4 linked regions of the Coturnix japonica genome follow. The protein of the gene in region 4 interacts with the protein of the main gene of each other region in a biochemical or structural test. Links are inferred from orthologs where the notes say so. Each region holds a gene or a part of one and is shown on either strand. Other genes may lie near its edges. The genes, in order: CRADD, OTUD1, TNFAIP3 and RIPK1.

The links.
Region 1: the proteins of RIPK1 (region 4) and CRADD form a complex in vitro, tested with the Homo sapiens proteins (2 studies listed by BioGRID). The link is inferred for Coturnix japonica from reciprocal best matches to the Homo sapiens genes RIPK1 and CRADD.
Region 2: of the proteins of RIPK1 (region 4) and OTUD1, one has a biochemical effect on the other in vitro, tested with the Homo sapiens proteins (2 studies listed by BioGRID). The link is inferred for Coturnix japonica from reciprocal best matches to the Homo sapiens genes RIPK1 and OTUD1.
Region 3: of the proteins of RIPK1 (region 4) and TNFAIP3, one has a biochemical effect on the other in vitro, tested with the Homo sapiens proteins (2 studies listed by BioGRID). The link is inferred for Coturnix japonica from reciprocal best matches to the Homo sapiens genes RIPK1 and TNFAIP3.

The regions. Positions count from the first base shown.
Region 1 is NC_029516.1:40,971,195-40,979,387, forward strand, and holds the end of CRADD (death domain-containing protein CRADD), read left to right. Parts: intron 1-3,571; coding exon 3,572-3,867; 3' UTR 3,868-5,081; downstream 5,082-8,193. UniProt on the Homo sapiens protein: Adapter protein that associates with PIDD1 and the caspase CASP2 to form the PIDDosome, a complex that activates CASP2 and triggers apoptosis.
Region 2 is NC_029517.1:15,709,660-15,717,852, reverse strand, and holds the end of OTUD1 (OTU domain-containing protein 1), read left to right. Parts: intron 1-1,353; 5' UTR 1,354-1,432; exon of another isoform or gene 1,433-2,235; 5' UTR 2,236-2,874; coding exon 2,875-4,452; 3' UTR 4,453-5,623; downstream 5,624-8,193. UniProt on the Homo sapiens protein: Deubiquitinating enzyme that specifically hydrolyzes 'Lys-63'-linked polyubiquitin to monoubiquitin.
Region 3 is NC_029518.1:49,351,802-49,359,608, forward strand, and holds the end of TNFAIP3 (tumor necrosis factor alpha-induced protein 3), read right to left. Parts: intron 4,033-7,807; coding exon 3,767-4,032; 3' UTR 3,137-3,766; downstream 1-3,136. UniProt on the Homo sapiens protein: Ubiquitin-editing enzyme that contains both ubiquitin ligase and deubiquitinase activities.
Region 4 is NC_029517.1:63,192,991-63,200,710, reverse strand, and holds part of RIPK1 (receptor-interacting serine/threonine-protein kinase 1), read right to left. Parts: intron 6,980-7,720; coding exon 6,903-6,979; intron 5,136-6,902; coding exon 5,048-5,135; intron 4,222-5,047; coding exon 3,676-4,221; intron 2,602-3,675; coding exon 2,530-2,601; intron 1,768-2,529; coding exon 1,615-1,767; intron 454-1,614; coding exon 167-453; 3' UTR 1-166. UniProt on the Homo sapiens protein: Serine-threonine kinase which is a key regulator of TNF-mediated apoptosis, necroptosis and inflammatory pathways.

The sequences.
Region 1 (8,193 bases), on a different chromosome or scaffold from region 4:
GGTGTGAGCAGCAAGAGGCTGGACTTTCAATCTCCACAGCATGCAGCCATGACACTTCACAGCACAAACCATGTCCAGAGCTGTTGTGGTCTTTCATTTGGCCTGCCCTCTGGAGGTAGAAACGCCACAAGTGGTCTTCTCAGGAATACCCTTGAGCACCTTCCAGGTCCCCCTGTGAAACAGAGCTCTCACCACTACAGCAAGATAATGAACAGGCAGCCCAGTGGCGCCTCAGATGCAAGTCAGGTCACACCTCCCCAAGCCCCACTTCTCCCCATTTCCAGTGGTGCAGTATGAATTTCGCAAGCCTGTATCTGTCTTAAGCACGGACATCTTCATATTGGACCTGTCTAAAGCTAGAAAAGCTTCATATCTTTGCAAATTGAGCTTTTAGTTTACTGAATGTGTATTTCAAATACAGTCAGAGCATCTGCATAATTGGAATTTATACTGTAATCTTGCTACCTCCTTCAGCCTGTTCTGACCAATGCAGATTGTAAGCGGGGGTCTGCAGTAAAAATAACCAAAACAAGCTGTCTTTAATGTTTTTGCAATGTGTTCAAACCAGCTTGGTTGCTGAGGACAGAAGAAGCATTTCCCTTTTACCTGAAATGCCCTTGTGTTTATTAAATTAAGAGTGTTATTAATCATAGATCATATCCAAACCTTTATATGATTTTACATTTGTCATAACTGAATGATCTCACTAAATATTTCTGTATACCTCTAAATAATGTTGCCTGTCATGTAATACTTGTCTCGCGTTTTTCTCAGTGAGAAGTGAGCTGAAAAAGAGCTATCACAGAAAATAAAATGGGACTAAAGTAACAGGCCTTTGTATTAAATTTAACATTTGGCTCCTGTCCCAGAATTTCCTGCATCCATATTGGAATCAGATGCTAGCTCAAGATGAAAAGATTTCCTGGATGGGTTTTATTCTTATTCTTATTAAAGGGCTGATAACAGGCTGAAGGCAAGATACTTGTTGTAGTAAAAAAATCTGCCTGATATCAAAGGCTGGATGGACAAGCTGACATATATTGTTGTTAGGCCTCCCTGCTTGATCACATTTCAGTACCATAAAATCATTCTGCTAGTGAACACGAGATGTAAAAATCTTGATGTGAGAGCAAAAAGCTCGGGCTGGCAGGTCCTCCTCCTGGGCACGGAGTTCCTGCTTAGTATCTGAGACAATACGTGAGTTCAATAGCAAGAAATACTGCTGGCTGCAGTGCAGGGTAGCTGTCTCTTGTAAATCGTACTTCTTATCAAATACTTGGACTCATATTTGTGTTAATCGCAGGCACTCAGTGGTCTCGATGTGCCCGTGGAACTGGCATTGTGTGTAATGGGGGGTCAGCCCCATGGAGCTCCTCTTCCTTCTTCAGGAGAGTTGTGCTGGGGTGACAGGCCGTGTAGGCTGGGCCTTCTTTGCCACTGCTGACATTGCCAACAAAATGTGCATCCATAGAGTATGCGTGCTATAGAGCCCTTGTCTTTGCAGATGCATTCTTGGGAGGAGATGAGGTGTTCTTGAGCTCTGTGATGAGGGCTGAAGCCACTGACCCGGCACAAACCCTTCTGTCTCTGAAGCCACTGAAGCTGAAAGATGATCTGGACATTCAGCCTTTGTTATCATAACTGGGACCTGTGCAAGGAAGTTGTGAGGCCTGTGCCCTACCCAAAAACCAGCCGGTTCCCTTGGCACCAGGAGATGAGAGGTCCCAGTGCTGTGGTTTAACCCTGCAGGCAGCTCAGCACCACCCAGCCACTTGCTCACGCTCCCCAGATGGAATGGGTCAGAGAATCTGAAAGGGAAAAGTGTAGGAACCCATAGGCTGAGATAAAGAGAGTTTTGTAGGTAAAACAAAAGCCATGTACATAAGTGAAGCAAAGCGAGGAACTCATTCCCTTCTTCCCATCACCAGGCAGGTGTTCAGCCACTTCCAGAAATGCAGGGCTCATTGTGCGTAATGGTTTCTTGGGAAGACAAATGCCATCTCTCTGAAAATCCATCCCTTCCTTCTTCATTCCCCTGGCTTTTATTATTGTGGTCCATGATGCTGTATGGTATGGGACATCCCCTTCGTCAGTTGGGTCAGCTGTCCTGGTTCTGTCCCCTCCCAGCCCATTGCTGGCAGGGCAGCATGAGGAGCTGAAATGTCCTTGGCTCTGTGCATGCACTGCTCTGCAGCAATGGAAACATCCATGTGCTATCAACACTATTTTCATCAAAAATCCAAAACACAGCATCACATGAACCCCTAGGGAAAAAATAAAAATAAAAAATCTCTATCCCAGCCAAAACTGTGACACCTAGATGCTCTCCAGAAAGCAATTTTGCCTTTACTCAAAGCAGCTCCATACAGCACTCGTGTGACTGGGCTTGAACAGTACAAATGTTTGCAGGCTCAGGGTAACCTATGCAAAAACAATTGTTGTTTTGAGACAGTGGAGTAGTGCTTTCTAGTGTTACTGTTCTGCTGTGGCAGAGACTTTGAGCAGGGTATTGAAGCTATAAATTAGATTTTGCAGATCGACTCCTCTGAAGGGAAGCTGCTGTTTCAGATTGGCAGGCTATAATTAGCATTTTCCTGAGGTTATTTTTGCTCTGTTTTGACGCAGTGTCATCAGTGACAAGAGTAGAGTAGCAAAAAGAAATAACCCTTCATTTCAGCTTGTGATCTCAAAAGGTATCAGAGAGTGAATATGTTCTACAGATACGCTGCTTTTCTAGGTACACCTTTTCAAAGCAACTGGTCTGTGGTTTGAATTTAAAGGCAGAGAACTCTTTCACTAGCACTGGGCGTTTACAGCATCAACATCAACATGTGAGCTTATACCCAGCGCTCCTTTTATAGTCAACAGAGAGAAACGTGCATTTTTAGAGGAGTAATTCATCTAGTCTATTTTAAACATCTTCTTTCCAATATATGAATTGTATTCTAGAAGAGCCTATTTCTCTCCTCAGCAGTAATTAATCCTAGCACTGTTAGGGTTTATTCAAATAAAAGCCCCCAAAGCTGGCCACCCAAAGATGATTTTGCTGTATATGACAGAGAACAAAGGGTAAGCAGCATCTTAGGAGACTGAAAAGGCTTTCTGGTAACTAAGGAATCAGTTATTTCTGAGGTGCACAAACAGAGAGACAGGACCAAAGTGATAAGGTTATTATTGGTCCCATATGTGTCATCGTACAACAAGGCTGATTTTCAGAATGTGCCGACTGCTGGAAACATGTTCCTTCAGAACCTTTCTTGTTCACTCCCCTCAGACTCCATAATTACTTCTGAAAGTCCTGGCTTCAGAGTGGAATTCTGATATCTGGATTATTGGCATTCAGAAGCTCCAGGCTCTCTAATAAGGTCCATTGAGCATTAGTTTTCCTCTAATTAATCTTGTATTTGATTATGTAATTCATTTTTTCTGGTTGAGTGTGCTTGCCATTTCTCTAATTAATTGATTATTTCACCTCAGCTTTGCTTATTCTCTCCTTGTCAAGGTTTTATGTTAATATTTGCAACATTGCCTAGTGATGTGATTTTGCATTTTCTTTCTTTTGTATTTACAGATTCAACCGCAATTGCCCCACGTATTCTGAAGAGTTCACCCACAGATCAGCAGATGAACAAGCTTGCGAGGAAGCTGGGACCTGAATGGGAGCATATTGTTCTGTGCTTGGGTTTGTCCCATACTGACATCTATCGATGTAAAGTCAATCACCCTCACAACGTTCAGTCACAGATAGTAGCTGCGTTTGTCCTGTGGAGACAGCGTTTTGGGAAGAGTGCAACAATCCAAAGTCTGCAAGCCAGCCTGATGGCAGCAGAGGTGGATCCTTCTGTGATGCAGTACATGCTTGAGTAAAGCCTTGCTTTGGAAGCTTTCAAGTTCTTTGCTAAACTGAGTACATCACTGAGATGAATTGAAGATCTGGTGCATCAGACTGGCAAAATTGGGCTTGAGAACTGTGATTTTATTAAGATTCCACATTTCGGTTTTCTGTGGCACCTTGTGACTTCTAATTCTTTTCATGCCAGATTTCTTTTTAGCAGGCATTGAAAAATGGATCGCTCTTTCCTCTTTCTTTGCTCTTGTACTATTCCAGTGGGGATATAGGGTGACGCTTAAACTCCTTGCATGCAGGAGGCCCTTCAGCAAGGTTTCCCTTTTCACTGTGGGAGCAACACTTGATTTAACCTGTTTTCTGGACTGTGGACTAAGAGCCGTTTTTACTGCTGATCCATGCTAGTTCCCTGATATCCCAGTAAGAAATGAGAATAATCACTGTTACTAATGCAGCGATTATACAGCAGTTACTGCAGGTGGCCCGTTTCACATTTGTCAGAGCCTTCGCGCATAGCATTTCTTATTTGGGTAGATGGCTGCCACCTTACTCTACCTTTCAAACTGAAATGAGATGACTTCTAAGTTTCCCATCTTTGTCTCAGCTAGTAAACTGGTGTCTGCTCAGTCTTTGTACTACAGCATGTGTGCAAAGGCAACAGAAACGGCCAGCTGCTCTTAAAGACCTGATGGAAAGAGGCTAAATACATGTTAATTCTTTATGGGCACTTTACTGTACTGTAAATGAGGAACAATGTTTGAGTGCAGGGTTTCCAGGTCTATTTATGAGCAAGTTCTGGTCGACCATTTCATCTATACAGAGTCATTGCCAAATAACTTCCCATCCTACAGGATCTGCTCCATATAATTTAACAGCTTAACAGGCTTGTCAGAATTCTTTACTAGGGAAAGAATGAGCTTTATTGCCTTTTTCTTTCTTTTTTAATTCTTCCTTTACTCTGATTTTTGAAGCCATTTCCCAAAGATGGGTAATTAGGAAAAACAAAGACATTTTCAGGAAACATTGTCTGCCTTGCTTTTCAGAAGCATGAAAAGAGAAAATGTGTCCTGCAGGTCCTGAAGTGATCTGGTGGAAGTCTTCTGCTTACAGTTTTCACCTTCTGTAAATCATGATCCTGTTATACCTCACTCAGATCTTAATTAATCATATCCTATTACAGCTATTTACAGAGTCTAAGTCTATCAACAAGTCCCAAATAAACAGTTTAAATCAATTTAGGCCATGTTACTTATTTTACTAGTTTGCGATGCTTTCATTCCAGCATATACTTCTTGTTGAAAACAGTCCTAGAGGTATACAGAGGCATTTGGCAAATTCACATAGACACGGCGCAGAGCAAGGAGTGTGAGGACTCTGAACCTGTTCTGCTGTGAGATGAGCACCAGCGTGACATGCATGTTAGGGAAGAGGGCCAGAGCGGTGTCTGTGGCAGCAGGGAGATGTGGAGTGGGATGAACTACTAAAAACACGGCTTACAGGAGGAAGGCAGCTCCCAGTCACAGAAATGCAAGGACCTTGTCTTGCTCTGAGCCAGCTCAGGCCAAGTCTGAACGCAGGCTGGTGACATGGGGAGCCATCCCTAGCCAGCTCAGCCTGAATGCGGCAATACGACCAGTCCTGCGGTGAAGTGGTACGATGGGTGGTACACTCACAGGGTCCTGCTACTTTCTTCTCTGCATGACCTTTGGACTTTATGTTCTTCTTTTACAAGGCCAATGTCAGATTATGCATAACTATACCTAGAGCATTTTAAAGGAAAGAGCTTGGAACACGTATGAAGTCTCATGCCGAAGAAGCCTTCCTAACCAGTTAGGTATCCTAACAAATCACCTAATTCATAACTTATAGCTGCTTTCACATTCCCAGGCCCAAATTTAATGCTGTAATACTTGAGCTGCAAATATCGAAGGGAGAGGTTTACTTGTTTTATGAGACTGTTTCCATTGCTGTTATTTTTAAATTCATGGAAATGTTTCTATTAGACTCTTCAGTTTTATTAAGGCTTGTTTTTGCACCACACAAATACAGGGACACATTAAACTTGACAGTAGTATTCTTTTAACCCAGTGGATTTTTCCATCTACTTAAAAATATTTTTCTTCTGTATGTAATGCTTTATTTTACACAAGGATGTAATTAAGACAATTTAATTCTTCAGATGTAAAGCAACGCCTCTCATTCTCTCTTAGCACAGCCAAGAGATCTTAAAATGTTTATTCTTCTCTGGCTAATTTGGGAGCAAATGTTACTCGTTTAAATGTCACTCTGAGGCAAGCCTGCGACTCGAGCATTGTTCAGGGGGAGCAGCTCCATCAGCGAGTGTCCCCATCTTTGCCTTCTTACTTTGGGTGACAACCCAGAGCTGGCAGGGGCTGCTCCCTGACCCAGGGCCGGTGATGGGAACGTCTCCCACAGCGGTCACCTCACCTGATGGCAGTTCAAGTGTTTTCAACTGTGTTCTGGTTTCTAAGCTGAAGCCAAAAAAAAGGCTTTTGAGTGCAACTGGTGTGATTGCTCCATACTTGTTTGCAGCAGTGTTTAGGTGCCTTGAGAGATGAAAGCAATGGTGGCCCCTGGCTCTTCTACAGAAATGGCTTGACTTCCAGCCCTTGGAATAAGCAGACATTGGTTTTCTTCCTTGGCCTATAAAGGAGATGCTCAGATCCCATTTAACTCTCTTTGGTGGTAAGTAGGCTTTATAAAAACCATCTTGTACTCAGTGAGTCTTGTACTGTACATCTTGTACAGTAAGAAAGGGCTAAGAGCATATCTCCCACCTGCACAAAGCAGCGTGGATTATCACAAAGGAGGGACCTCATGACCCCATGAATTAGGCTTCACATTGCTTCAAGAAGTGGCTGGAGTATAGAGGAGAACTAAAATGCAGTCATCTTCGAGCTGCTTCTCCAAGATGATGTGGGGGAAATTTCCATCTTGAGTCATATATTACGACAGTCATCGATCTATGGAATAAAACATTTTGCTGAAGGCTGGAAAAACAAACAAAAGTCACATTATATTCAAGGAATATAAAAGGCATGATGATCTTATTCTAAATATGGTCATGCAGCCAATTTTGTTTCTTACTGGAAATAAAAACAAGCTCTGAGAGCTAATCTATTTATAAGCTTCTGTATTCTCAATAGCCATAAACTAATCTTGAGGCACAGCAGAAGCAGAGCTGAAAAGTCAGTTCCTAAAAGGTTTGCTTTACAAATTATTTTACAATAATTTACAGTCTTTTTTTCTTCTTTTTGGTGAATTTACAAATGGTGTCCAGATTTCATTAACTGAGAAGATTGACTTTCAAAGTGTCTACCATCCGATAAGTAGACCTAAAAATAGACCTAGTGATTTGGCTTCTTTGGGGACCAAACACAGTGTCTTTCCTGAGAAAGAGGGACAATTGCTAGAAATGGAAATAATGTTTCAAAATGTCTTTCCAGATTAATAACAATAAGGACGTGTTTTATCTGAATTTACTTCTGAACCTGGCATCTTAGTTGTGAGACAGATGAATTGGTAATTTCCCTTTGAAGCTGTCGGGGATGGCTGAATGCTCAGTGGAGCGGAGCGGTTACCAAAGAGCTGATGGTGCAGGAAGGCTCCTGGCACTTCTATGTGGAGACAGCATTAAAATGCCTGCACGTGCTGCAGATGCCATTTCTGACACTGATGTCGGATACAGGCCCCAAAAGAAAGGAGACAAAAAGTCTCTTATTGACTTCAGTGCGCTTTGGATTAGGCCGTCCCTAATTGGAACCTGCTGAAGTGTGGTACTTTTACTACCTCTCTTTGAAAAGCAGTCTTTATGAATTTGGGGTAATAAAACACGAAGAGTTTTTGTGGGTGCAGAAAGCATTCTGGGTTATGGGGTCCTTTTAGCCTCTAGTGCTGCTTTGCACTTCAAAATCAGCGTTGTGAGAAAGGAAAAATAAGAGAGGAGCAGAAAAGGGCAGAAGATGGAACGAGCCAAGCCCTTGACCCAGAGCTCTCGCAAGCCAGCAGCAAGCTTGCTCAGCAGAGAGGGCACACAGCTGCGTGGCTGCTGGCTGCCATTGCTCTCTGAGTGCTGTTGTAGGCCTTGGGGAGGAGGGTGAGCCCAGCCCCAAAAGCACCTACCTTGTGGCCATGGCCACCAGCGGGCTCAGGGCCAGGCAGCACAAGGCCTCAGCTGGGAGCACTGCTCAGCCACACGTCCTGCTGGCCATGACCAGACCCAGAGTCAGGGCTATTTTTTGATGAATGGTGTCTTTTTATTTTGTCCTGTGGCAAGGATCTGTGCTGTTGGCCACTTGGCAGGTGCGAGCCAGCCTGACTCATGG
Region 2 (8,193 bases), about 47 Mb from region 4:
TTTAAAATCCTGTATGCATTACAGAGTTTGTTTGCATTGCATTACCACTGTTTTTTCTCAGAGGAAATAGCATTTATGATTCCTTTTTATATTCTGACATCATCCTTGAGCCCTATTCACAATGACCACCACAAATGCCATCTACACACTGAGTAGAAATGAGAGACAGACTTGACCTGCGTCAGAGCTCACATTTGGAGGCTCACTTATCAAAAGGGATGTGAATCCAAGACCCTGAAGCGTGAGTGAATGTCTATATTTATCATCAGCAACCCTTTTTCCACTCTTGCCATGTGATGTCATGCTGCAGGTTACATCTCTAATGCCCAGTGCCCCCATACAGTGATATGATTTCAACCTGAGAGTATTGAAGAAACTAAACAACAAATTGTGAGGCAATTGTGAGACACATCCCTTGTTTTGTGCGGCGTATGTATACCTCAGAACTAATTACTGATACATTTACTTTCCATTTCATGTTAGTGATACAGTAAGGGTTGAACAAAGTATGAAATCATTACAAAAAAAACCCCGAACTGTCATAAGGAGTAGGAAAAAAGATTCGGGGTAGAAACAGCAGAATCTGTCAGTGCTGTTGGCTTATGACATCTACACAGGTTCATTTAACTATAGTACGAAATACTTCAGCCAGAAATATGTTTGGCTGAAGCACAGTTACATTATCATAAGTAAAAAGCTGTGGAAATGCTTATTCAGTGTCATTCAATACGTCACTTAATTTAACTTCTCTCTCCTTCTTCACTAATAAATGATCCTGCTGATGTAATTAATTTGTTCATCAAGGTTAGAAGTAGTTCCATTCTTAGGTATCCAGTTTTACGTCACTGAACGCCACTGTTTTTCCACAGCTGTTTCTATGCTTGTGGTTTGCCTTGTAAACCATCTCAACCATTCCTGGAATGTGCAGTGTAACCAGTGCTAATGATTATGTCAGGAGAAACTTTAACCTCAAGAGATGATTATGCTTTGTTACCACAGGGACTGCTTTAAGGTCTATTCTGCATTGGCAAAGGGCTTTACATTTGCCTGTCCTGAATGAGCCAGAAGACTGGGAACACTACAGAAGACAGTGAAAGGCATTTCCATAGTGTTCTGCTTGCTTTGCAAAGCGTTCTAGTGCTCATGTGGTACAGTATGCAGGCAGTGGCTGCTCTACATGCAGCTCAAAGAAAGAACAAATCAGCACCTCCTGGCAGCAAAAGGCACCACAACGTGCTCCTTCCTTTTACAGATTGCCTTATATTCAAATTCTTCCCTGAAATTTAATACTCACAGGAACTTATTCACAGCACTTCATCATTCCTTTCTATTTCCACCCTTTTCTTCATCTAGTGACCTTGGATTGAAGCATGGGTTAAGACATTGTTATTATTGCGAACAGATGCCAGACATTTACTGAATGACCTTTCAGGTAAGTGCTGACTGGTGGTCACTCCTACGATGAAAGCTGAAAACTAGCCATGAAATGCTTGTGCTGCAGAGGTTCAATGGGATTTTTGCCATTGATTTCTAGAAAGATTGGATTCCACCCAGGCCAAATGTGTGTGACTAACTCTAGATGCTCAGGCACAGAAAATGTTAGCCACGTTACACTGTCAGTATTTAATAACACAGGTAAAACGTGCTGAGGTGAACTTCTCTTTCTATTTACTTCACATGGGAGGTAATTAGTATGTTAAAAGCAATATGCAATTAACTCTCATACAGTGGTAGAGCTGTTTGTTATGTTGCTCAGTTACCTAGTAACAGATTTTGATTGTATTTTAACAGTACTAGGAAGGTTACTATGTATATTTGAAGTGAAAACATGAGGCTGATGTTACTGATACCTGTTTGTAGAATGATCCAATAGTTTGGGAGAGGCAGAACTGTCATTACTGGGAGTTTCTATGTCATCCTAAGAGAAAGAGAACTGTGGCACTAAGTATTCAAAATGCAGCACTCATTTATAACAGAAATGCTCTTATTCTGCTGGATCTATTTACTATTCTCTAACAGAAAGAGCTGCCCATCTTTGCCCTTCACTGGAAAGTGTTTCAGTTTAGCACCATTTGATCGGTATATTTTACTCTCTAAGAAATGATTTGTCCAGAAATAAAGGTTCACTGGCTGATCTCATAAGCTATATTTAAATCAAAGTTCTGAACATTCTGACATCCGAGTGTCACTCTGTAATTTCAGAGCAGTTGTAATACTTTATCCTCCTGTTAACAGGCTGCCAGAAATGCTCCTGGCTAAAGCACATCACCATTTGTTCTTAAGGCATCAACGTGCTGGTTGTGGCAGGTAATCAGGACCTTACAGTTCATACCTGATACACCTCTTACACCTCAATTTTGGCAGCAATAATGTTGGATATATAGTACTTACCACCCCCACCCATTCTTTTTCTCCTTCCTACTGCTTGGATTGCAGAACTGAAGCTCAAATCATTCATCCCAAAGTCGATCCTGAAATCTATCTCTATATATATTTTCTTCCTGTATAACTTTGAAATTAAACACAATATCCACTTTTCTGTTGTGGTAAGACTGGATGCCTGTGTTAACCCAGCACGAAGTGGGGCTCCTTACTCAACGTTATCACATGCAGCGTGTGCAGATAACATCACTGCTCGTGTCTGACGGGTGACATGCAGCTTTATTTATAGCACAGCTAAGGCAAAAAGTCGTGTTGATTGTAAGACGCCACTGACATCAATAAAACAACCACCAAAGTGGTCTTTGGGAGTTGCATTTTCAATCTGTCCTCTCCAGTTATGAACCGATGACCTATATCGTAGTTTTACATGTACATGTACACATAGCGCATTGTAACCGATGAGTTATATCGTAGTTTCATGTATACACACACATGGTTCGCATTTCCCAAAGGAAAGCTCCAGTGGGTCCCACATCCTCCCATCGCTCCCATCCCCCCCCCCGTCGGGGGCCGTTCCCTACGGAATCCCCGCCCCACATTCCAACGTGCTCGTTCCCCGCTGTAAACACGGCGCCGCTCCGCCCCCAGCAACTTCCAGAAGGGCCTCAGCTCTTCGGCGCGCTCCCGCGTAGGGGCGTGTCGTGCCGGCCGTGCGGCTCCGCTTGTGGCGCAGTCAGAATTGCGGCGGCTGCCGCCGGGCCCAGCGGGCAGCGCGGGGCAGGGGAGGGGCGGCGGGGCGGGGGGCGATGCCCCGGGTTATTTTTACCCGGGCGGCTCATCCTCTCGGGCAGCCCCAGCGCGGCCCCCGCCGCCGCTCCCCGCCCCTGCTCCGGCGGCGCCGCCTATAAAGCGCCGCCCGCGGGGGAGCCGAGGATGCAGCTCTACAGCTCCGTGATCACCCACTACCCCGCGGGCGGAACGGCCCCTCCGAGCGCGGCGACCGTTTTCAAGGTCTCCATCCCGCCGGGACCCCCCTCCGCCGAGGCAGCGAGCGACGCCGCCGGGCCGAGCCCGAACCCGACCGCCGAGAGCCCCGCCAAGGACGGCCCGAGCCCCGGGGGCCCAGCCGCAGCCGCCATGCCCGCCTTCTCGTCCTGCCTGGAGGTGATGCCGAGCGGCCCCGCCGCCGCCGTCCCGCAGTACAGCTCCTGCGCGCAGCTCACCGTCAGCCGCCGCCGCCCGCTGGAGCGCGTGGTGCCCATCCGCCTGCTGCCCCGGCCCGAGCCCGCTCCGCACGGCCGCGCCTGGCTGGAAGGCGTCGTGCAGAGCGGCGCCGACGAGCCCAGCAACCGCAGCCTGCGGCTCAGCGAGCACTGCCAGGCGCTGCAGGCCGCCGCCAACCAGCCCGGCCCGCAGCCCGAGCGCGGCGGGGAGGACCAGGAGGGCGGCGGAGGAGCGGGCGCGGCGCGGCGGGCGGAGCGCAGCGAGAAGCTGGCGTTGTACCTGGCCGAAGTGGAGAAGCAGGACCGGTACCTGCGGCAGAAGGGCCGATTCCGCTTCCACATCATCCCCGACGGGAACTGCCTGTACCGCGCCGTCTGCAAGGCGGTGTACGGGGACCAGCGGCTGCACGGCGAGCTCCGCGAGCAGACGGTGCACTACATCGCCGACCACCTGGACCACTTCGGCCCCATCATCGAGGGCGACGTCGGGGAGTTCCTCATCGCCGCCGCGCAGGACGGCGCCTGGGCCGGCTACCCCGAGCTGCTGGCCATGGGGCAGATGCTGAACGTCAACATTCACCTGACGACGGGCGGGCGGCCCGAGAGCCCCACCGTTTCCACCATGGTCCACTACCTGGGGCCCGAGGACCCGACGCGGCCCAGCATTTGGCTGAGCTGGCTGAGCAACGGGCACTACGACGCCGTGCTGGACCGCGTCTGCCCCAACCCCGAGTACGAGGCCTGGTGCAGGCAGACTCAGGTGCAGCGCCGGCGGGATGAGGAGCTGGCCAAGTCCATGGCCGTGTCCCTGTCCAAGATGTACATCGAGCAGAACGCCTGCTCGTGAGGCCGCCCGGGACCAGGGCTGTGGGGACAGATGGGTGGAAGCGTGCTGGCCGTGATGGTGATGCCTTAATCCTTAATGAAGCAGCAGCACCCCGGACTGAGACGAGCGGTAGATCGCGGGGGATAAATCCAAGTGTGTTTGTAGTATTCTGTTGTAGAGACATAGCCTCGGATTATTTGCCAGCAGGTTCTCTGTTCGTTTGTGTCTCCCTTCCTCACCGTTTCTCTATTTTCTATGAGAATGTATTTTTTGCACATTTTTAAACTGTTACGTCCATCTTTTACATCTCATGTTAGTATCTGGCTTTGAGCTGTATAGCCAAAAAACATTTGTAACGATTTTTGTAAATAAGGCTTATGATGTAACAGCTATTTTTTGCTGTGTTTTTTACCCATAAACCTTATATTTCTACCTAATGAAGCTGATGTCGAATGACCCTCCCAAACTGGCGAAAGCATCGTGGCTATTGGCAAAACAATAGTAGTTGTTCAAGCGCAGCAAAGTAGAAGTCTGCTTTCTGAACAGTTGCTTTCTCTGCCTCGAGTACAGAACAGGTCCTCTGAGCCGGCTGGAATGCAGCTCCACGTGCACCGCGCAGGGAGCAATTGACTCTTCTGTATTTAATTACTGTTTTGAGTAAACTGGCCTCTCGTTGCCTGGTTGGCTCACCCTCTGCTCCATTTATGTTATTTATCTGTAATAACAGAACATTAACTTGCAATAGAATGTTGTGACTAGATAATAGCCTACCGCTTTGGCAGTAATTGCCTTGGCTGCACCTCGGTGTTTGTGTTCCTGTTTCTGGGGTTATGGTGTCTTTTGTATGAGCCATGCTTCTGTTTTGGCGCTTGTATTGCACCAACAAATCGTTATCTGATCACAACATTTTATTCATTGGATGTTATTTTCTATATAAGAAATCAGGAATGGTATTTTGAGTTAAAAAGTATTTAAATTGAGATTTGTATGGTTTGCTGGGTCAAACATTTAAATGTTTCCAAGCTGAATTCTGTTTCTTCTACTTTCTGATTAACTTGTTAGATATATTTATTAAGTACGGCAGTTTGTACTTTTTTTATTTTGTAATATATTGTGATTTTGGAATTTATACAGTATTTGTATAATAGGAATATTCTCAGCTAAAATGGAATGAATAAAGAATATAATTTTACTTGTGTTCTTTTCCCATCCTTTCTGTTCCTAGTGTGAGGAACTGGAAGTTCATTCAAGAGCCTTTACTGAGTTTCTTTGCTTTATTTTCCCCAGTGAGGAGGGGGGAAGCAGGGACATGAAGTTTGATGAATGTGAACAAGTGATGCTATGGGTGGCCTGGGGGTGTGGAAGAAAAGCAAACACTTAATGACAAGTGTTTCAAATCTATTGCAATTACAAGTGATTTTAGCATAAATATTTGCCACTAAGAAATCCCTGAGGGATTCCTGCCTGTACCAAGGGTTGGTACTGTGGGTTGTGGTGAAGCAGAGCCCTACTGGGCAGTGCAAGCCTTCACTTAGTCTCAGATTGCACACAGAATCTGTGGGTGCCCCATTCCCTGGTGGCATTCAAGGTCAGGTTGGTTGGGGCCCTGGGCAGCTTGAGCTGGTGGGTGGCAGCCCTGCCTATGGTGGGTGGGGAGGGTGAGTGGAGCTGGGTGGGTTGTAAGGTCCCTTCCAAGCCATTTAATGAACTTTTGTGTCTGGGAGCCTTTATTCTGCAGCCATTCCCAAGCTCGTTTTAGGTTAGCCCTACCTCTGCACTTCTATCAGTTACTTGGATAGAGGTTGTATCACTAGGAGATACAGCCTTTTCCCTTTCCTTTTAAAAGTGAAATACCTTACAAGCTGCTCAATAGCATGGTGTGTATTTACATACCTATCTTTGCCTCTCTAAAAATAGTGGGTCATCTTTAAACACACAGGAGAGCGCTGGCTTAAAATTAGGATTAAAGATAAGTAGCTGAGATGCTGCAGTCTTAATTGAGCACGTGTGTTCTGATAATGAGCTACAGGACTGATCGCATGTATGTTTGCCTTATGTGTTGCAAAGAGGAAATCAGAAACTTATGTTGTTTCCAAAACTTTCTTGGTTTGAATTCCAAGTGTATTTTCCACACACACACAATAATGCTTTCTCTTTAAAGGTCAAACAGCAGTGGAAGAAGCAGTCTTGCTGGTTGGTCCACTGGTGCTTACCTTAACTAAATCTCTGGAAGGCTGAACTCTGAGGGGAGAACGCATCAAAGATGCAGACATGGATGCGTTCATGGGAAAGAGAGACAGCTGATGAGGAGAACATCCCGGAGGGCTCCTTAGGAGTTCTGATGCCACTGCACACATATGACTGTAAGGAATTAAAATTGTTGAGCTGATTTTAAAAGCCATTAAGAATGTATTATTGAAGCATATAACAAGTTAATTTAGTGGCTTGCATTACACACTGTGTAAATTTCAGAAGAAAAATGGATAAATGGTATGTTAGGTGCATAAGGCATGTGGAAACTGAATTGTTTTTGTAACACTGCTGTTTATAGTTCAGCTGAGACATGGAGTTCATCTTGCCTGAGAAGGTGTGTTTTATTAGAGAGAGTGGTCCCAACATGGGCAAAGCTGTGTGCCATCCCCCATTCAATAGCACTGCAGCAAAAGCACAAGAAGAGGGTTTTCCCTTACTGTCCCCGTTACTGAACCCAGAAGCTACAGAAGGACAAATGTTGCCCTTGCTCATAATTTCAGCGCCTGATTATTTTAACCTTGGGTAATCACTTGTATAACCCAGCTAATCCTTAGACCTGTCTGGGGACTGTAGGAAACAGGTTCATATTGTTGGCAGTAAGTGAGAAGGAGATCTTGGTTTTCAGTGTTCAGTTGTGTGGTTAAGTGAGATAGAAAGTGGTTTAATTCTAAACTGAGCAAATGTGAACTGGAGTGTGCTCCTGCAGGCTGCACACTGACAGTGTGATGCCATCCTCACTTGTGTTCTGTAGCAGAAGTGAAAATTAGATGGCAGGTTGAGTGCTTCATGTCAGGAATTCCTTTGGGTTGCAGAATGCCATTTTGTCATGAAAGATTGGCCACATTGTGATTTTCACATGTCTTGAACAGGTGCTGTAACACAAAGCAAGGTTTGTAAGAGTAGATTTGGTTTGCATGTGAAAGGAACATTCCAAAATGGAAAAGGGAAGACCTTTCCAATGTTACTGCCCTTCATCTCAGTCAATGGATTTCTTCTTGGAGAGCTGAGTGGATCCTTGTCTGTGCTTAGTAACTTCCTAGGATGTGTAAAGGCTGCCTAACACCAGGTGTGAGTGTCCCCTTGTACTTTACCAGCCCACCACACGTGTAAAAGATACACCTGTTACATTAACGTCACTTGTACATAGAGGTGTATTTCAGTATTACCTGAGATTGTACACAACCTCCTGTATCTGAATGTTTCTTCTGGCTGGTTTTGCTCTTACGCTGGAATTAGCAGACAGGACTAATTTCATCTATACCATATTTTTTTTCACACATACAAGTGTCCAGCACAATTCCTGTGCATAACTTCTATATTTTCATATTTTGGCTATCCAGCAAACAAACATTTCTGGGCAAGAAAACACATGGTTTCAGATCTCTGGGTGAGGTCTGGAGCTTGGTGACCTCTGTCCCTTTAACCTAATATGGCTAAGAGCAATGCTTCTTCCCTTTGCTGATGCTCTGCTCAAGTTAAGAAATTCCAGGATCTTTGGAACTCCAGCAG
Region 3 (7,807 bases), on a different chromosome or scaffold from region 4:
TTGTGGTGATGTTCCTCTGGATAGCAGAGTACAGCTATGGTCCAAGCAGAAGAAGTGGAGGAGCTTCCAGGTCACCTAGTGGTACACCACAGCATCCCTGGGGAGTGAAGGAAGAGAGACAGAGGGAGAGCCCCTGTACTGCTGGTTGGCACAGAGACCAGCCTGGGTGAGTGTTTAAAAGTAGATTATTTATGAAGATCTTTTATTGAGATGTGTGCTTTTTGATCAAACTAGAAGTGGGAGGACAAAAATAACCATCTACCGGTTGGAAAAAATCACCTGTCACTGGTTGAGAAAAGTCAGGTTACTCAGTGACAATGCAATCATGGTTTCTGGGTGTGGTATGACTTTTCCTGTTTCTCACCGTTTTCAGTGAGATGAGATGATGCCTTTTAGTTGCAGTGATTAACTTGATAAACTTAATTCTGGTGACAAAATAAATATAGCTGCAAGCAAGATTTCGTTTTCCCCTCACTACTTGCTTTGGTTAAGTAGCATGTCATTTATAGAGGAAAGCAAGGTACAATGTAAATATGTGCTGTCTGTTGCAGATGAGAGGGACAGAGAAATCAGATAAATAGACACTGCTCTTGAAATAAGGCTTCCCTTGGGTTGTTTCCAATCACAGCTCTGACACAAGCCCGCCACTGAGCAGGACCAGCTCCTATAGAGAAAAATATCCACTACACTAGAAGTTAATAGAGTGAATGTGTGTAAATCCATAACACATTGTTTCATCTTATTTAATACAGGAAAAGAATAAAATATAAATTGTTTTTAATTGTGTTTGTAGTTTGTTTAGCCTTGAGTGGAAGTACAAATAAAAGCCATCACATTTTCCAGGCTGAGAGAAAAGGATCCTTTCCTCTGCTGCATAAGAACAAGTCAGCAGCAGGAATACGGCAGTGGAGCTGGATGAATTGCGCAGACATGTAGGAGGAGAGAACTTTCTGCATTACCGCATACTGCCAAGACCTGAAGGTTGACCTCTAAGCCAGTACTTACTATGTGTCACCCATTAGTTCATTTGACATCTGAGTTGGTTTTTACAGCGTAACCACTTCTCACCCACATACAGGGATTAAAACTCTGCGAAGCCTAGCGCAGGATGGCAGAAGATATGCTAGTTTGCATGTCTGGGACAGAGGGTAGGTAAAAAAATTCCCTGGTATGAAACTTTTCCAAGGGCTTTACTTTGTTTATGTTTCATGGTGTTTGGATGGGTATACTGGGACTAATAAAGGTTAATGTTACTGGAGAATTTCTATACCATGTGCCACCATTACAGGTCAGTTTTGGATTGTGTAACATTATTAGATCTTTCCAGTATCGTTCCTTTTTACAAAAAAATGCACTAACATTTGTAGGAGGAACTTAGGAACATTTTGGACTTCTTCACTTGTTCAACTTGCAGTCACACTGAGGGAAAATCAAAGGTTAGCAAAACTAAAGGCAATAAAGATTTTATCACCAGATTCAACTCAGAACTAGTAAGTATCTCCTCAGAGATAAACAATTCTAAATACAGAGGTGAAAATTGTTCTGTAAACTTCCTGGTTTGTTTTTGTTGTTGTTATTTTGATTTTAATTTTGTCTTACCTATAAATGTAATGGAAAGTGCTGTTCTTACACGATATAAGTAACTACCATCACTTCTTTCTGAGTCCAACTTACACCCACAAATCCTGAAAAAGTCACTTAAATACAAAGGAAAATTACTCATGTGATTCCATGTTAATTAATAAAACCCATGCTTTTCCAACATCAGTTACTAGTATGATCTGTAGAAGGAATGGTGTAGACTTCTGTGAGGTATCTGTTTCAATATCATACAATGTTGTGTCAGAAAAATATTGAAACTCTCGCTGCCAAAATCAGTGTGCACTTTGAACTGGAAAAGTAGATTGGCAGTAAGTATCCTTCAGCAAATGGCTTCTCTACTTATCTTCTGCAGAGATTCATGCCAGATTTAATCAAATTCAACCTTTTCTTCTGTGGGCCTGGAAAAAAATAATGTTACAGATTAACCAAAACAAGCGAAAGAGTAATAGAATGGTAAAAATTAAGGAGACAAAAGAGTCTGTAAAACAGGGTAAAATAGATGGATTAGCGATCCAGACCCACTGAAACAAACGCATTTTAATACAGGAGAATTATAAGCTGAAAACAACAAAGAGAGTAGGAGGGCACAATGGGTGAATATCTTAACATAAGTTCATTTGTTGCAGAGATAAAAAGGAATTATGTAGTTTGTGGATGTATAAACAAGTTAGGAGAAGTGGTTTTTCCCCTGTATTTCCATTGCTGAGATATTTTTTTTCCATGGTAATATTTCTAAGCTTTTACTGGTACTTCCCAATTCTCACTGAGATCACAACTTTATTTTATTAGGAACATTTTTCCACTGCAAGGAGGGTGTTTCTTCCTTGATTATGGCAATAAATCATCACAGTAATAGGTAACAGCCAACTAGAGGAGATGAACTTCTCACTTAGCTTCCTTGTTCACGCCACAATGGTTTATTTTCGTCTCCCCTGATAATTTTGAAAACCTCAGAGTAAATAAATGGTCAGTTATATCCCCCCATTCGTAACACTTCTCATTGTGTAAGCTGGATACAAATCCTTGCATACATCTCTATGATTCAATGAAGCTAAATGTGATGATCAGTAGCCAACTAGAAGTAGTGTGCAGAACTGTGACACTATCTTGTTGTTTGACAACATTTTGCTCTGTTAGAAAGAGAACTGATGCAGTTCCATCTACTGCAAAGGAAAAGCCTGTTTCTTTGAATGCATTATTAATGCAAGTGGAGCAGACATTGTCCTTGGTAACAGTGCCAAGTGTTTTGCAGTTAACACTTGGTCCAAACAACCCTGCCTTCATATTACTGCACTTACACTGTTTTTCTACACTGGAAACATACAGGAGCTGAGCAGGGAATTATTTGGGAGTTCAAATACATTTCTTGAACACTTGAAATAACTGTGGAAATGGTAACATAGCGAGATTGTTATTTAGGTAACTGTTTAATGCAGGGACGTGTATCTTGTTCCACATGCTCCCTCTGGGCAGGTTTCATCTCGGTTCTTCTATGTCCAAGGAGTACCTGAAAGAAAACACAACTTCAGAAAAATGAAAGGTTGTCTAAAGTTTAGCCTCAATATGTCCCAAAACTGCATTGTTGGTGGGGAACAAGTACATCATCAATACAGACTGAAACATCAAGTATAATTATTTGTGTCAGACCTTTTACTTCAGGATGTCAGTGAGTATTGTCATAATTAATTATTTAAATTTCACAGCTATTGAGGGGAGTTATGTGAGTGTTACTTCTCTAATTTCTCGCAAGACAAATATATATTCATGGATGGTTAACTGCCCCAGAGATGCAAAGCATTTAACTGCCTACCACCCATTGATTTCGGGAGGCATTAGTTGCCATAAGTTGTAAGTATTTTCATGGCTTGCCCAGCATCAAAATCTGATTAGTTAGTGAGTTACAAAGCAAAAGACAATCTGCATATTGCCCTGATTTTATAGCTTTCTTCAAGAGGAAACATCACCTCAGAAATGGCGCGTGGGATGCATCTACTCCAGAATGTCACCTTTGTAAACCAGTGTAAACATCTACATCTGAGCTAGTCATCTGGGTGCCCCTTGTAGTCAGGGGAGGGAGAGACAGCTGAGATTAATTCCACTCTGGGTGTCTGCACCGCAAAAGCGGAATACCAAAGTGCAGCCTACACCAGCTGTGGTCATTCTCTTACCCTTGCCTTTCATATTTGCTATCCTGAGATTCACCGGAAAAAATTACAAAGTGTATCCAGGGGATTTCCATGCAGTCCTTGATGCTATCTTTAGAGTGCTCAAATGGAGCTGCAGAATAAAGAACTTGTTTGTACTTTTTCTTGTGTCTACTTGTCTCTGCTTCACTCAGCTGAAAACAAGAAAGTTTGTAGATTAAACACTTACTGGTTCCACGTGGCTGTGAAGTTACCATCTCCTGTTTTTGCTGTCCTCTCTGATGTCCTGCAATTATTTTCTATTTATTACAGGCTCTGCTGGATTCATTCTATACATTCACATTTCCCTTATTGCAGTATTAAAACTGATTTGTTCAAGTTTTACAAATTAGCATGTACTTTCAAGTATCTTGTTCCTTTTTAGCCAAGCAAAAATAGGTCATGACCAATACGGTTTAGATACACTTTCTCTAGCAGTGATAATATTTAGTTATACCCTGAAACATAACAAAACAAACAAAAAAAGCATGCTAATACTAAGAGGTGAAGAACGAACACTGTTTTGGCAGCTGTACTATAGATGTTATTAGTACAAGCTGAAACTTCATTGTGGGGAATCAAAATAAAAGAGATAAAACCTATCTCTATTTGCAGCTGAATTTGATGAGTTTAGTTCAAAGTTGTTCCCAAATAGGAAGCATTGTCAGCTCAAAGAGGTAAAAACTGAAATACGGAAGGTCAACCCTTCGCAGAGCTCAGCCAAACTTCTGCATTTTTACAGGAGAAGCCACCTACAAGATGAAGTAGGCAGCCCAAGGAGGAGTGTTAGGGGCTGGGTGTTTCCAGCAAGCTGCACTTCACACTCTCACCTTCTCCAAAGTGACAAAGCAGAGGATAGTATCCTCCCCAGAAACTGACTCAGGAGCACCCTGACTGGTGTGAGGGTGGGTGACAACAAGACAAAAGTCACCAGGAGACAGAGGGAGACCACCACAGGCACTCTGAGGAGCTGAAGCTGGAAACCTACAGCATGTGTAGGCGCCTCTGGAAGTGCATGTGTAGCCATGTGGCGGAAAGTATCAGGAAGCTCTGTACAACACAGATCAGCTTGTTCTTGGTCACAGCTGCTGGTGGGTTGCTATTCTGGTAGAGGAAAGCCAGTCTGGATCGAAGCACACGTGACAGTGAGGTAATTTAACATTGTAGTGACCTTATAATGTGAGGACACGTGGAAAAACAAAGCCCCAGGGAAGACTGAATGCACTGTATAGCCCAGAGTGGAGGTCTGACTTAGGCCCCAGTGCAGGAGAGAAAAGCAAAGCTCAAATGCCTGAAGTAACAACAAAGCAAACTGTAAGTCAGTGAATTATATAATGAAATCCCAACAATATGAAGTTCTGCCTTAATAAGTCTTCCCTGCTGGATGCCCAAAAGAAAAACAGAGAAAGAACATTCTGGTGATGAATATGTTTAATTTGACATTCACGTAGCCTCGGGTTTGGCAGAGCCCAAGCTACATGCCTGCTCTGAGTAATGCGTTGTGAACTTCCGTGGTGCACATGGCTGATATGACTCAGATGCACAGGAGCGCTGGCAAACACTGGAGGCTCCAAGCACCTGCCCCAGCACCAGCTTTCAAAGAGACCTGCTCTGCTGAGGGTCAGCATTCATGGCTCTATTACCACCCCCAAAACTTCCTTTTTTTTTTTTTTAAAGAAAAAAAAGAAAAAAAAGTCTCTGGAAACGATGACTTTTTCTTCTTTTCTTTTAGGCAGTAGATATAGGCTGGTCTAGACATGCACGTGATTGTGAAACAGTGTGCAACATCATCTATTTTGCTGGCTGTGTATGAATAATACGTAATTGAAAAATGATGTTGATCTGTACCCTCAAGTAAAAATCAGTTTGATCTTCATTGCAGGCTATAAGTTAGAAGGCAAGTAAGCTATAACTTATCCTGTTGGAATGTCAGTCAGGCTATTTTTCTTGCTTTTTAAGTGATTGTGCACTAAGGACCACAGAACAGGCTGAGATGCCTAATTACCATTACACGGTAACCAGCAGCCAGTGCAAGGTGTGCCATTATGTACAAGAGGACATAACAGCGAGGTCTGCTTGCTTAGAGATGTCTTTGCGGCATGTGGGTTGCAACAGCAGCAACTGAATGCCTCTTTTTTTACTCCAGAACACAAAAAAGGAAGTAAGACACTGTTTGTATAAGATACCTGGCCAAATTCCCATCCTCATTATCTTACAGAAAATCTAGAGTAAAGTTGCTGAAGTCCATCAAATTATTAAGGATTGACATCAGTATAAACGTTATCAGATCTTGCAGCAAAATGTTTACCAGGTGTCACTTCAGTGCACGCTCTTCTATCATGGATGTCAGACAAGAGGAAATGAAATGATTGCTTCAGTCATTAATAAAGTGAGAATTCTGGCAGTGTGTTCTCAGGCTGCACAGCACTTAATGCCATGACCAGGCTATGTCCCACAGTTATCTGAGAGCAGCCAGTTGGAGAGGTGCTTGTTTCAAAGTGAGGAACATTGCACATGAGCTTGGAGCAGAGCCCCAGCTCACCAGCTGGGCTTTACATTGTAAATGAGAAGGGAATTTTGTCCCTTTCTTGTGTCATGCCACTGAGCCTTTGAAAAAAAGTATGGGGTTGGGAACTGGATGAACTCACCATACGCAATTGTATTAGATCATATGAATCCCTTGAAACGAAGCCATAAGCAGAGAATAAAACCTAAGTTTCCCCCATGGTAATTCACCAGGGGAAATCTTACTTCCTGCCCAACATCATGTATTTGTACCAGGCCCTTAGCAAAAAAAAGTGTGTGTAGGGGGGGTGGGGGGGTGGAGAGGGGTAAAACACGAATCAATAACAAAAAGAATCATTGCTGTCAGAGATCAAGGGTAGTGGGAGGGGGAGAGATTACGTACACAGTGTTCAGTTTAGCGAGGCCGGAGGAGGGGGCAGTCTGCGTTGCACGCCGTAGGCTGTCTTTCAGTATTAGACACAGGGAGTTTTTTGAGAATTAGCATTAGTACAAAAAGATGTCATCATAAAACTCCCAAGCAAAATTACCTGCTCTTATTTCAGGTTTCTGTTTGACCAACATTAAAGACGTTCTAATATGTACACATAAAGGCTTTTTTTTGTTGTTGTTGTTGAATGAATGAATGCCTTGGTAACTCGAGATGCTGCTGCATTGTGCTCACCAAGTTGCCTATAGCTCACTCAGCTCACTGGCAGAAGGTGGAGGGCAGTGGCAGAGGGCACAGGGGACTGCAGGGGACTGATTGACTCAGCTCCACTTCTCCTTGGGAAGACTATGGCAGGCTTCTCCAAAGCAACCACAGCTGGCCAAGGCAAGGGGAATTAATAAATTGGCAGCTCAGTTAAGCCACTTCTGAGCATGCCCAGGGAGGTTGTGGATGCCCCGTCCTTGGAGGTGTTCAAGACCAGGTTGGACGGGGCCCTGGGCAACGTGATCTAGTAAATGTGTATGTTTGGTGGCCCTGCCAGGCAGGGGGTTGGAACTACATGATCCTTGAGGTCCTTTCCAACCCGGGTCATTCTGTGATTCTGTGATTCCTGTGCTGCTAGGCTGACCCTTCTGAACAAGGCAAGCATTGGTAGTACCAGCATGTTATCGCCAGTACGGGAGACAGCAGCAGCACAGAGATTACTGACCAAGCTCATGTGTGCACACTGAATCTGCTCCCACCAGGAACGAGTTTGCTGCGCTGCTCATTAAATTCAGGCAAGTGAAAAGTGTAACTTCTTATTTTACATTTAATATAAAGTGAAACTGTAACTGCTCAGCACTGTGGTTTTCTCTTTTTGTGTTTTGCATATCACACCATTGTATCCTACTCAAGTATGCTGGATAAAATTACATAATTGCTATTCTCCCTATGCAAAACTCCCATCATATCACCATGCTAAACCACTTATTTTATAAGGATTGAACATGCGAGCATTTTTACTTCTTTCAGTAAAGCAGAACTCCTTCAAACAACCACTTTAAAGTCCCTGTTGTACATGTTCAGA
Region 4 (7,720 bases):
TTTCTGAGTTGCTGGAGGTATTCACTGAAAACTGCTTGGCAGAAAAATCCATTCCAAAGAGGAAAAGTGTGCAAAAAGCTCCAGAAATTCTGTTCAGAATTATTTGTTATTAGAAGGTCTTCAGGTAAAAATATCCCGTGTTCCTCCCTCTCCAGCTTCAGTCAATTTACTCCTCATTCATTTGCATCAAGGCATCAAGGAGATCCAGTCTTTGGCAGCCAAAGAGGGCTCTGGCAATTTTTCCAACTGTTGTACCTTTGGAGCCTTCTCTCATTTCCCACTTACTCAGCATTTGGTAAACTTTTTCTTTTAGTCCGTATCGTTCATAGTCATGATCAATTTCATCAATTTCAGAGTTGCTGAAGCCTAATTTACGGGCACAGTGCATCCACTGTTTAGCTAACTTTTCTCTCACCAGATCCATCTGTTTCTCAGTCAAGACAGTATTATTGTCTGAAGAAGAAGGAAAAAAAAGTATAAGTAAATAACATTATTTAACATTCCTTCTGCTCCCCACTCTATGTCTGTATGGGAAATCACCGCTTGAACCTCTGATTAATTAGCTGAGGCAAGTATTGGGTCAGCTGCGGGAGCACAGGTGAGAGTAATGTAGCTGTGCTCCCAGAAGGGCTGGACTTCGACTCCACCTCCTCTGAGACCTCATTTAAGGGCTGACCACCACTGAGGCAGCATCTCTTGGAGATTGCTCCCCAGTGGAGACTGTCTCAGCTTTCTGGTCAAGGCATTGACATTGGTGAGTTTTCTTTACTAATAACCTTTGACTATTTACCACCATCTTGGTCAACATCTTTATATTAGCCACCCTTACATATGCCAATTGTCCTTTCCAAAGTATTTGCAATATCCTGAGGTAGAACTTTAGTGACAGGATCAAAAGTGGAGGTGATATTACCTAATGAATACCACAAAAGAAGCTCACAGTCGGAACATGTGTTCACAAGTCGGTTGGGAGACTTGCTTTTTTTCCCCCTGAGTCTACTTAAGTTTGTTATTGAAACACCTGCCAAATTCACAAGCTCTTTCCTAAAGTTCTTGTGTAGCTGACTGATGTTTATATGTGATCTCTTTTATATTCTAGGACTCTGTAACTCTGTTTACTTAGGAATAAAAGAGTAGTTAATCCAATATTGACTTAAAGAAATTTAAAAAAAATCTTCCAAATTCTACCCTAATAGAATACTTAGGTGAGAACCATCAATCCCAGTCTCACTTCTATCAGTTTTAGCATTGCTATTCCTCTACATGTGTACTTGGATCTGGTGTTTCATGAAGCCAAAAAAGAAATAAGATACACAGTATTACAGAACAGCACCGGCACAGGTCTTTAAATCACAGTCTCGTGCGGGTTGGAAGGGACCTTAGAGATCATCGAGTCCAACCCCTGGGATTTGAGCCTCCTGTGTAGCAGAGCAGCACTTCTACCACTTGTGCCACAGGGGGATTTGAACCCAGGCCTCAGGTGTTGCAGTGCGGCATTCCTACCACTGCACCACTGGAGTACTGTGCTACTGTGTAGAAAAGGAGTCACAGAGCAGCTAAGTTGTACTGTTCTCACTGAGGATAATACACTGAAGCCAGGGAGATGTATCTTACCAAATATACCCGTTGATTCATAGTATGAGTAAGATGCTTCTGTAGCAACAGGAGAAGTGCTGGTGTGTTGTTTCTGCTCTTCAATCTTCATGTGATTGTGGGATCCAATTTGAATTCTAGAGCTGTTAGTTATGTTGTACATGACTGAATCTTCTGTGTAAGGAAATTAATAGAGTTTCATAAACATCTGCATGCAAATAAAAAATTGAAGCAGTCCTGTATGAAGGGTGAGGATGAAGGTTTTGATAATCAAGGGAGTGATTAAATTCTTGCATTTAACATAGTAATAGTTGAATTGTTTGAGTTGGAAGAGACCCTTAAAAGTCATCTAGTAAGACTCCCCTGCAGTGCACAGGCAATCAGGAATGTATTTTCATGTAGTGTGACACAGCTGTGCTCTACTGAAAGCCAGTGTTACTCTATCCCATACCAAAATGCCCTAGAACAGGACAAAACTTGAGGGGTTTAAGGTAGCTGAACTTTAAAGACCTGTGCTCCAAGGTAGGCTGATTAGAATGATCCTTTTGATTTACATTAAAGATGATGACATCCTTGATCAAGCAAATATAAATATGTATATACAGGTAACTGTAGAGACAGAAATTAGTTTTGCTTAGTAATATAACTTCTGCTATATTTAAAGCTCTTGGATGAATTGTTTCAAGATCACAGAATTGTAGGGGTTGGAAGGGACCTCTAGAGATCATTGAGTCCAACCCCCCTGCCAAAGCAGGCTCCCCAAACCACGTCACACAGGTAGGCGTCCAGGCGGGTCTTGAATATGTCCAGAGAAGGAGACTCCACCACCCCCCTGGGCAGCCTGATGATGAAGATGCTGAAGCTTTTTTCCTCACTGATCGTAATGCAATGCATAAACTGTTGGCTACCAAGACAAACAAAGGCTACAGCATTTACCTCTGGTTATTGGAGTTGCAGGAGGATAATATGTGAAAGTTCCCCTTGTGAAAGAGGCAGAAACCTTGATACCTAAAGAGAGAGGAAATGCCAGAAGTGTTATGGAAATTAAAAAAAACAAATCTACAAGTACTGCTGTTATTTGTACAGTGTGCATAGCGCTCTTAAATACAAAAAGACAGAAAGTTTTTTAACAAACAGGACTTTATCTCCTTTAATAACTCTGAAGCAGTTACCCTTATTGTGGTTTTGCTTATGGACTGATAGCCTTTGTGATCCTTGGATCCCAGTGAGAACAACAGGATTCCACATGGGTGTATGAACACCTGCCTGGCAGAAAGCAGCACAGGATCACAGCGTAGACACAGGTATTACTGCCTCCAAACCAAGAAGGCTGCCGAGCACATTGCTATTTACTGCTGAGACTGATCATGGTTTGTTAGCATGTTAGTTGTGACCAGCTGTAGCTGGGGATGCCACCGTATCTTCTGTTGGTAGCAATAATGTCCTGCAGAGATGTAACTTCCTGTCTGATGTAGTAATGGATTTGGATGCGCTCAGATGAGCTCTGACAGTTTGTGACTGGGCAGTAAGAGTGACTGGGTTATGGTCACCAAATAAGACAATAGAAGAACTGCAGTGCAGGTCTTCTGCATCTGCCTGATGCCTGCCATGATATTGTATGTTGCCTCCCTACAATGATTGCTTCCACTTGTTACTGACACTCACTGTTCTCTTCGTTTTCTCCATAGCTTTCTATTCCACAGTTCACTAGCAAACTGTAAGGGCATCTCTGTGTTAGCACTGAGCAGTGTTCTCTGGAGAAACCAGTTAAGAGCTTTAGTTCCTTGTTAGCTCCCTGAACTCTTAACTTGCTGCAAATCAAGCTTAAATATCTCTTTTCTGAAATGCTACATGCACATACATGAGAAAAGTTCCATTTTTGCGCACACAGCCTGTGGTGTGAATGTTACATTCTGTGAGTCAAAAATACTCCTTAGTTTTCCAAGTGTGATTAGTAAGAGCTCTTGGTTTTGTTAGCTGCTGCAGTATTATCCACTGTCTGCTATTATTAAGGCTGCTTTGTCTTTAGAGGAAAAAACACATTTTCAGAAACACAAGAGTTAAGAGGAGGAAGAATCTCACCTGTATCCACATCTGCATTCTTTTGTTGCTGGTTTACGCTGTTCTGTGCCCCCAGGTTTGGGCGAGATTCCGGCACAGGAGTTTTGCTTAGGCTAAAGGCACTTGTTGAACATGGATCATAGCGATCTTCAGTGTTTCCTGTTAGGAGACTGTTAACGTTTGGCCCATAAAAATTTTCTAAATTTCCCTGAGTTGGTATTGCAGCTTGTTTTGGCCAAAACCAAGGGTTAGTGTTTGATCCTATATTTTCAGCTTTGTAATACAGTTCACCCCATTGAGGAACAGAAGGCAGCTTTGCAAATGGATCATTGGAAACTTTAGGTCTCGTTTCTCTCTCTCTCATTTCAGGGCTGTATGGTGGAGCTACTGATTTATCCATCCGGCTGCCGTATGCATGGTAGTCGTATTCACGTTCAAGTTTTCTTTCAAGATTGTCAGGGGATGTAAACGAAGTCTCACAGCTCTCAACAGGCTGGTTCTCAGGGTAGGCAGCAAACAAGGCTTCATTAATCTGACCCTGAGAGCTGTGTAGAGAATTAGGTTGATCTGAAAGGGAAAAAAATGAAGTATTTAAAACAGATTCTATTGCAAGTATATAACTAGTGGTGACATTAGATTCTATTAATTTATTTTTAATACTATGGTAAATTATAAAAGATGAAACTGTAGCATCACTTCCAGCATAAGCTGTTTTATGTAATACTTCCCTTTCTGGGAAGTGTCACTGAATTATGCTTAGGAAAGCAGTGTCTGAATTCACTGTGTATTCTGCATATATCGACACCAGGTTCTTAGTCACTGAAACAACAGGTTCCCAGCAGCACTCATAGGGTCTAATTTACTACCAAGTCTTGACTTCATTAACTGGTATTTAACCAGTGTAAGACCAGAGTATAACAAGATGGAAGATAGAACTCACTGTAATTGGCGTTACTTAATGCAACACAAATAATTTGTCACTGAAGTCATATCTGCAAAAGATTATGTAGAAATCCTATCTGGAGATGTCACCAAAAAAAAGCACAAAAGCATCTGTAATCTGTAGTCTTACATTATTATTTTTGCTAGGGAAATGTACCTACGCTACTTTAAAAGTACAGCAATTGGCCTGCCTTACTAGGTCCAATAGTTCTACTTCTGTTATGGCAAACATAGCTTTGGTGAAGGTTTATCGGTTGCCTGTTATAGTTCCAAGTTACTTGCTTAATAAAATCTTTACAGTGGTGTGGGCAAAGTTAGTAGGATTTGACTTCTACTGGATTTTAGAAGTACTGAATGACTGAGTCTCTCCATAGCTACAAAAGGGGCAACTTTATCTTTAGCAGAGTACATGCCAGGATGATGTGCTAGTTATGCAACTTGGAACACCCACCTATTTGGCCATTGCTGGTATCTACTACAGCATCTATTTGAAGGGATTTCATCCTCTGCAGCAGTTCTTCTGACTTGGGCCACATTTCCTACATGTAAGAAAAGAGCATATGGTCAAGTTATAGGTAAAAGCTTAACGAGAGGAAGCACCTATAGAATAGAAAACACATCCTTATACTGAAGTCACCTGGGTGAACAGATTCCATCAATCTTACAGAGGACAGAGCCTTGCAGAAAATAGCCGCTGCTTTGCTACAGATGGGCAAAATCTTATCTTCAGTGAAAGGAGGAAGAACTGTAATGCAACTGTAGTAATTCTGAGCTGGCCAGAGAACACCATTTACCTAAATGAGTATAAGTTTAATTGGCACATAGGGATACATTTCATAATTAATGTCTCTCCTAAGGTCTTAGCAAAGAAGCTGATAACTGTGAGCTAGATAAGTGCACAGTGACTTGAAAACTAGTTGAATAACTGGATCCAGAGGGTAGTGTTCAGTAATTTGAAGTCTAGTTTGAGGCTTGAAACTATCAGTGTGCCCCATGTGTCATCACTGAGTCCAATCCTGTTCAAAATCTCCATTAATGATCCAGAAGGACATGTGTAGGATGGAGAAATGAGCTGACAGGAACCTCGTGAAGGTTGATAAAAGGGAATGCTAAGTTCTGCACCTAAGGAGGAATAAATCCATGCACCAATATATACTAGGGGCTGATTGGCTGGAAGGCTACTCTGCAGAAAAGGACCTGGGAGTCCCAGTGGATGTCAAATTGAGTGCAAACTAGCAATACACCCTTGCAGTGAGGATGACTGATGTTGTCCTGGTGCATTGTGAGGACTGTTGCCAGTAGGTCTAGGGAGGTGATCCCTCTCCTCTACTCAGGGTTCATCTAGAGTGCTGTGTTCAGTTCTGAGCCCCTGCAGTATAAGAGCCAACAGAGAAGGTCCAGATAAGATGACTAAGGGACTGGAGCATCTTTCTTGTGAGAGAGAGGCTGAGAGAGCTGGGATGGGATAGCATGGAGATGAGAAGGATCAGAGGAAGTCATGTCAGTGTGTTTAAATATCTGATGGCATGGTGTAAAGAAGATGGATTCTTTTCAGTGGTGCTCAGTGACAGGACAAGAGGTGGTGGGAACAAATGGAATCACAAGAGGTTCTGTATGAATGTCAGAAAGTGGTAGCACCTCAAGCCAGACAAGGAAGAGAAACCAACTTAAGCACTAAGGAAAAATAACTGATTTCAAATAAAAACGGGAACTATTCTTATTGCTGTTGTGCAGGTCCTGCTTTCAAGCAGGCTGGGAATTTACAAGCAATATAGTTTTGGAGTTTTATAAGGTTTCTGTCATCCCATTCTTCTAGACTGTTGTGGGCACCCTTGACCACAATGGTACTTTATCTATCCCCATAGTTTGTCATCTGCACACCTTATGAGATAGCTCCTTTGGTCGCTGATCAAGGTGTAAATCGGGGCATGTCCCAGTATAGTAGATCCCTGTATTATTCCAATTGTTCCTGTTCTCCAGGTGAGGTAGGGTCTGCTAACCACTACCCTCTAGGACCACCTGTTTTTAACCCATCTGGCTGTCTACCCGTCCAAATGGTAACATCTAATCCTGGACAAAGGAATATTTGGGGAGACAGTGCTGAAAATCTTCCTGAAGTTGAGGTAAATGATGTACAGTGTTCTCCCCTCATTCACAAATCCATCCATTTTTACACTGAAGGAAATCAGGTTGGTCAGGCATGAGCAGAGCTGGGGAGAATCTGGCAGTAACTGGGGATGTGTCATGGCATGGTTGGGAAACCGACACTTTAACACTTAGGAAATAATACCAAACAAATTACTCACTTCTATCTTCTTCAGATCGTTGTCAATATTTTTTTCTAGATTTTGATGGTAAAAGGGCACGTACTTGTTACTAACTTCTGCAAAAAAAAAAATAAAAATATATATATATATATATGTATATGTATATATACCCACACAAAAAAGGAGAACTAGATGAAGATGGTTTTCAGTAGAAAATAAGTAACTTATACTGTTAACAGCCTTGATGTACAAGAAGTCGATGGAGATTTCAGCCTGGAGAAGAGAAGGTTGCGGGGTGACCTCATTGCAGCCTTTCAATACCTGAAGGGAACCTACACCCAGGAGGGGAGTAAACTCTTTGAAAGGGCTGATAATAGCAGGACTAGGGTAAATGGTTTTAAGTTGAAGGAGGGAAGATTTAGGTTGGACGTTAGGGGGAAGTTCTTCACTAGGAGAGTGGTTAGGCCCTGGAACAGGCTGCCCAGGGAGGTTGTGGGTGCCCCGTCCTTGGAGGTGTTCAAGGCCAGGTTGGACGGGGCCCTGGGCAACCTGATCTAGTAAATGTGTATGTTTGGTGGCCCTGCTAGGCAGGGGGGTTGGAACTACATGATCCTTGAGGTCCCTTCCAACCCGGGTCATTCTGTGATTCTGTGATTTTATATCAAGTCAGAAACAGTAATGGGAAAGTTAAACGCACATGACTTGTTTAGCCTTAGTGTAGTTAAAAAGAATAAGATTATTTCTATGGATTTTTTTGGTTGTCTTATTGCTTTTTAGGAGGAAAGTGATCTGTGGCTGAAGTACCTTCCCTTGGCTGCCAAAATAAACAGTAAGACCTGCATTCAGGTATTGAATAA